2 linked regions of the Mus musculus genome follow. The protein of the gene in region 2 interacts with the protein of the main gene of each other region in a pairwise test. Links are inferred from orthologs where the notes say so. Each region holds a gene or a part of one and is shown on either strand. Other genes may lie near its edges. The genes, in order: Psmd9 and Psmc6.

What was found.
Region 1: the proteins of Psmc6 (region 2) and Psmd9 interact in binary tests that used the Homo sapiens proteins (3 or more experiments, as listed by UniProt). The two-hybrid records come from large-scale screens. The link is inferred for Mus musculus from reciprocal best matches to the Homo sapiens genes PSMC6 and PSMD9.

The regions. Positions count from the first base shown.
Region 1 is NC_000071.6:123,241,578-123,245,401, reverse strand, and holds part of Psmd9 (26S proteasome non-ATPase regulatory subunit 9), read right to left. Parts: intron 3,571-3,824; coding exon 3,469-3,570; intron 1-3,468. UniProt on the Homo sapiens protein: Acts as a chaperone during the assembly of the 26S proteasome, specifically of the base subcomplex of the PA700/19S regulatory complex (RC).
Region 2 is NC_000080.6:45,346,560-45,349,631, reverse strand, and holds the end of Psmc6 (26S proteasome regulatory subunit 10B), read right to left. Parts: intron 2,889-3,072; coding exon 2,817-2,888; intron 1,050-2,816; coding exon 931-1,049; 3' UTR 561-930; downstream 1-560. UniProt on the Homo sapiens protein: Component of the 26S proteasome, a multiprotein complex involved in the ATP-dependent degradation of ubiquitinated proteins.

The sequences.
Region 1 (3,824 bases), on a different chromosome or scaffold from region 2:
CACATGGGGAGGGGAGGGCAGGGGAGGGGAGGGCAGGGGAGGGGAGGGGAGGGCAGGGGAGGGCAGGGGAGGGCAGGGGAGGGCAGGGGAGGGCAGGGGAGGGAGTTACAGAGAGAGACAGACACAGTGCTTTGATTTTCACTTTAAACATTTTTGCAATGTGAATTTGTATGTGACATAAATATGCAGTAGGCTTCTTACTGAGACACAATTTATATACAGTAAAGCAGGGCTCAGTGGGTCTCCTGCTCTCAGACCCATCACCACCTCCTAACTGCAGAGGGTCTGTCTGCATCATCCAAAAGACCATCAGCACATGGTCCTCACCCTCACCCTCCCGCCCAGCAACCACCAGCCAATCTCCTTTCTAGCTTTCTAGATCTGCTTTTTAGGACAACTTCGTTGAGGAATTGTATGGCCTCCTGTTTGGTCTCTTTCACTTTATATTATGTTTTCAATACTCATGTTGTAATATGTAATGGAGAATTTACTCCATTCCTGTGGCTAAACTAAATATGCATTGTTTTTATTATAAAGGTGCATGCGAGTGTGCACACACATGTATTTAAAAAAACCAAAAGCTGGGTGTGGTGGCACACGCCTTTAATCCCGGCACTCGGGAGACAGAGGCAGGCAGATTTCTGAGTTCAAGGGCAGCCTGGTCAACAAAGTGAGTTCCAGGACAGCCAGGGCTATAACAAACAAACAAACAAACAAACAAACAATAAATAAATAAAAACCAAAACCCAAAAAACAGTGTGCTGGGCATGGTGGTGCACCCCTTTAATCCCAGCACTCAGTAGGCAGAGGTAATTGGATCTCTGTGAGGCCAGTCTGTCTACATAGTGTGCTCTAGGACAGCCAGGGCAGACAGAAATTGTTGTTGCAAAACAACAACAACAACAACAACAACAACAACACTTTTGTTGACCAAACCCATGACTGGGCACCTGAAAAGGGACCTGCCACTGAACCACACACCCTTAGGGTCAAGACAGTAAATTTTTTTCCCATCAAGATTGCTTGCGCTTTGAGAATATACGCGTTTGATCCAAACACTATACTTTTGGAAGGAAAGCTGATGAAAACAGTTTGCTCTACAAAAGCAGAATCGTAATAAAATTGGAAACTTCCGAAATGCTAACAGCACAGACAGACCTGGGGTTTTGTTTTGTTTAAGTCACAGAAGAGACGATGAGAACCCAGACTCCTGACTCTCAAGCAGGGCCCTGAGGGTCAGGACTGAGATCAGCGGTGTGGCTTTCAAATTACCATGGCCACTTGGCTTTTAGACAGCGGGCACATTGGGACTCCCCAAAGTAAGTCTTTTGAAAAAAAGCTAAAAGGAAGCCAGGAAACGAACCTGAAGACTTTGTGCCAATTTTGTGCTTTGGTTCTGTTTTCCATGGGTCTGAATTCAGAATGTAACAGGACATCTTTAAAAACACATCTGCAAATACGCACACTGGGCGTGGCAGCGCACTGTCACAGAGATGATGTCACTGAGATGATGAAGAACAGCAGGCTAGCAAGGCTGGACAGCCACAGACACAAACACTGGGAAGACATGACAGAGATGAGGGACCGCTAACACAAGGAAAGCTTCCACAAACTGGACAAGTGAGGGCAGGGCGAGTAGAGAGGCTGGAGCCCTCGGAGGGCAGTTTAATGATAGGCCCCAAGTCCTCTCACATGCCTCCCTTCAGGAGGTCCAATTCCCTTCTCCCCAGGCGTGGGCTGGACCTAGCAAGTCACTAAGAGGTAAGAAAGACATAACTGTGCATCTTCTGAGATGCGACCCCCTCACTGCTCTCGCTGCCTGAGGTAGTGCACTCAAGTGGTGTATGAAGCCGCAGGATGAGTAACTGAAGGCTCGGGCCGACCATGGGGTGGAAGTGGATGTACAGCCTCGCTGGACCCTTTGGGTGGCCATGGTGTCTGCAGGTGTCCTGGCTGGCCCTCACAGAAGCCTCTGGGCCAGAACCAGCAGAGCCAGCAGGGATGGCTGAGCTGTCCAACGAGACCAGTGGTTCTCAACCTGTGGGTTGTAACCTTCTTGGGGTGAGACACCCACTTCACAGGGCTCCCCTGAGACCATCTGAAAACACAGATGTTTATATTACTGTTTCTAACAGTAGCCAAAGTACAGTCATGAGGTAGCAAGAAAAGTAATTTTATGGTTGGGGCCACCACAACATGAGGAACTGTATTAAAGGGTGGCAGCGTTAGGAAGGTTGAGAGCCCACTGTACCAGACAGACAAGCATCTGTGGTCTTGGCCTACCAACTTTCCAAATGGTCCTTGGACTCACTCTATAGCAAGGTGTTAAAGGAAAGCAGACAGGGACAAATGGATTCTTCTAAGCAACTCCAAAAAGGGTCAGAACAAAGAGAACACCACCCATATATCTGATATTAACAGAGGTGACAGTGTAAACTAGTGGGTAAAGTATTCATAATGATAAATGGTACCGGGACAACTACTATCCATTTGGGGGGAAAAGTGGCCTGGTAATGTGTGTCTAATTACACTAAACTAATTATAGAATAAATTCCTGGGAAATATATGTGTCAGAAAAAGAAGAACCTATATCCACGGGCTAGAGAGATAGCTCCGTATTACATAAAAACAGGCATGGCCAGGCACACTGTACTTCCAGTGCACGGGAGGAAGGACAACCAGAAGGCTCAAGATCATCCTAGGCCACACAGTGAGATCCAGGCCAGCCTGAGACAGAATAAGACGCCTCAAGTATACACGATCTCTCAGAGCCGGCCACCCTTCTTTACAGGTGCCACCTAGAAAAGCATGTGACCACGTGCACACGTACGTGGTCGGCCACCCTGGGTGAAGCTGGAAACATCACAAGGTCTAGAGAAGGCAGTGATGGAGAACTGGACCCCAATAACAGCTGCAGGGGAACAGGGCATGTGCCAAAATAAGGCAGCTTCTAGCTTAGTTACTGTTACTGGATGACACAGAGGAGGGATTTAGACAAGAGCACCAGGAGGGCCATCAACTGTGTAAAAGACTCAGCTGTGTAAGACAAATGTGGCAAATGGAAGAAAAAGCTCTCCAGGGAGAGAGAGAGGCACCACCACTGCTGTCAGCAGTGAGGATCCCCCCAACAGCTTCTGGGCCGGAAAATCCCAGACAGACAGACAGATACCCAGCGCTATGGGCTGAACTCCTGCTTCCCTCTGGAAAGCTCTCATACTGAAAGGCTGGCTGACTGGCCCCTCGGTGTGATGGAGTAGGAGACTGGGCTTTAGAGGGGTGCAATTTATGGGGATGGAGCCCTGGTGATGGAGTCAGTGATCCAGCCCTTAAGCAAACTGTGTCATCCTTGGACCAGAGCCTGAATCTGTGGCCCCCTGCTCCTGGACTTCCACACTATCCCCTGATCTGTGCGAGCAGCAGGCCTCTGTGGCTTGTGGGACACCCGGATGCCAGGGCACCCCGACTTACCCCCTCGCTATGCTGCACCACAGTGCCCACGTTCTGCACTGACTGGAAGTTTTGGGTGTTCACGGAGCCGAACTCCACAATTTCGTCATCCACTTGCAGGCCCTAAAGACAGGAGAAAAATGTAAAGCCAACCCGAGAGGTTGGATGCATTTTCTGGTCATTTGTACCGCTTAATCTACAACTCTGTGGCAAGACCAAGAGCTTGTTTCCTACAGGGAAAGAATGGCAGGCTCTAAGTAACGAGGTCAAAGATTTCAACTCCTCGAGTAGGATCAGGGAGTAGGCAGGTGCCTCATTCTGGAGGTTCCTTCTAGGACAGACCTAGCAAATGGTGTCCAGGTGTACCCAGTGGACAC
Region 2 (3,072 bases):
TTTTTAGACATTGACAATTTCCTTATACAACTTTTGATTGCCACATGAAATTAGAATTGTGTACAGGTAACAGAACTTTTGTTTTGAACATTTAACATTCCATAGAGTAGACACTCTCAGCCTGGTATTTACTGGAAGATATTTATAGAATCCACTGGTGAACCTAAGAAATAATAGATCGCTAGAAATCACATATATGTAAAATTACATGTCCATGAACAGACTTTTCCTGGATCCAGACCACAAAAAGGGAATTATTTTTCACATAAACCAAATTATAAGTATTACTTCCAGTCATAATCTTTAAAAAGTTAAAATTATCAAATACCTAACTGCAATAGGTAAAGAGAATTTCTTGGAAGACACAAGTACATGTATATACTCCATAACCCCACACTCTATGATCTATAAAAGAAGACATTCTTGTGGACTCTGTGAGTACTGTTTAAAATTCAAAGCCCTATTTTAATTTTCAACTTCATCCAGGTTTTCAAATCATATACTTACTAATCCAAAAGGACAAGAATAAATGTGCTTTTAGAAAAGACAAGAGTATATATAGGACAACTTAAAACAGATTTTATTGCTTTTTTTTTAAGGACGAGGAAAACAAAATATAAAATAAGTCATAAGAAATGCTCTCCTCTACTATCTCAATCATTTTGAATGTTGTACAAAATGCTCACAAAGCAAATATGAAAAGCTTCAGGATGTCTTTTGTAAATTCTGCTGAAGTAAATGCAACATCACCAAACATGACTTTCTTCTGTACCAATTTTTAAAAAATTACTGAATTACATACTATTATGTTGCTTATACATGTTTATTCACTTTTAATAAGATCATTGCCAATACATACATTATTTTCCTTAACTTTATTTTTACATTAAACCAATGTCTGTCATGCAGCCACCAAACCCTTCTAGTGAATCACACAGGTTTGTAGTCCAGCTTGGACTCCAGCTTCTTGGAGTCAGCCACTTTCCTGACTGCTTTCATGAAGTCTTCCTGAACTACAAAATCATGATCGGCACGAATTGCAAACATACCTGTGGAAAACAAAACAAATTGCTGCTTATAGTGTGTGCGATGCAGTTCAATCAGTAAGACAGCTAAGCTGGGAACAGTGGTACCTGACTGTAAGTAAGCTCAGCACTTAGCAGATCTCAAGTTCAAGACCAGCCTAACATGTCAAGACCTCATCTCAAAAGAAAAGGGGAAAGAAAACTAAGTGATCTTATCTCTATGGAGGAAATGTGAAGAGATATACACTTACTACTTCTGAGCCAGTAATGCTACTTCATACATTTTCATAAATAGCGTGAGCATTGTTTTTGAAATAAGCAGATACCACAATTACCTGACTATTTAAAATCTGGACTGTGTAGTACTTAATGAAATTAATATTCATTTAATAAAAATCCTGGCAGTATTAAGTGGTGGTACTTAATAAAAACACCTGGAACAAAACATCTGGGCTAGGATGGAACAGGTAGGATGTTTGCTTAACATATGCAAGATCTTAGGTTTGATCTCAAGCAATGCAAAACTAAACAACCAACTTGCAGTGACTTTAATAATGATTACCTGTCACTAAGCAAGGCTTAAGGTTGGGGATATAGCTGTCAGGAGTATTGCCTAGATTATAGACACTTGTTCAACCATCTGTACTGCGTACTATAAGCCTAAAATCCCAGCATTTGGGAGGGAAAGGCAGGATAATCACTATACACTGTATATTTCAAAAAGTTAGAAAAAAGGATCCTAGGTGTTTTCATAGTGAAGGGAACACAGGTAATCTCCAAGGAAGAAAAGCTCCAAGTCAGGTATGCAACACAGACCTTGGACCCACACATAAATGGCGCTCACTCTTGATGACATGTACAGTTACAGGTTGTAGTTAGAGAGAGAGACACTCTCTTCAGTGGTGTAGCCACAGGAAAAGGGTCCATTCTTCTCTAAGCATCCATACTTAAACTCAACGGATCAGGGACTGGGGAGATGGCTGCTCCTCCATAGGACCTGAATTTAATCTGATCTAAGTATTACATAATATATACATGTATACAAAAACATGGTTCCTATTAATGTGTGATTTCCTTCAAAGTTTTTCAATGTGAGAAAAAAAAAGCACCTATCAAAATTTGACAGCATCAGCTTTAAAATCACAGTACTGCCTTTTGACTTTAGCTTTTCCTGAAAGTCGCCCTTGATAATTATGTGGTCTGATTTTGGAATGTGATAAATTACCCTAGAGACATGCCTTGGGTCTGAATATTCTGAATGAAAACTAAATGACTTCAACCTGGCAGTGTTTCAAAGTCACTTGTTACCAAAAATAAAACTAGTATCACGAAATTCAGAATTGTATTTTAAAACTTCATTTTGAACAAATTCCAGGACATCAGTCTTCTAGAGCAATCTTTCAAATACTGGTCTTATGGGACTTGTCCATTCTAGTTCTAGCCACAGTGTACCAAACAGTCCTGCAATCAGGCTTCCCACAACATGCCTGTGGGCATGAGATCACATCCCCAAGGGCCAACTTTATTGGGGAACGGGAGAGGGTAGCTGGTAAATCAGTGTTGTAGGCTTGCATGTCCCGCCATACAACCTCAACAGCATTCTGTACGTTTCCCTAAAATCAAAGTCAGCTACTACAGTGGTGCATCCTCCTTTGCGTTGTTCAGTTCTACTTCTTGAAATCAAGTCTCAAATGCAAACCAAAAACCAGAAATCCTGCCAAAGTGCAGCTCTGCTTTTAGATAAGCTTAGAACATTGTTATTGATGGTAAAAATATACTTTTTATTCTCACCTGCTTCAGTACAAACATTTCTCAGGTCTGCTCCATTAAAGCCATCTGAAAGCTTTACAATTGCTTCATAATCTGTTTAGAAAAAAAAAATAACAGAAATCAGCTAGATAACAATAAAGATTCAATATTGATTTTTGCCCATAGAGAAAATTTAAATGGACTAGTTCATTTTGAATTTGATCAGCATTACCTGTGCTACTATTTTACAGCATTAACAACTAAACTTGCTGCAAAGTAAACTAGAATCAAAAAAATA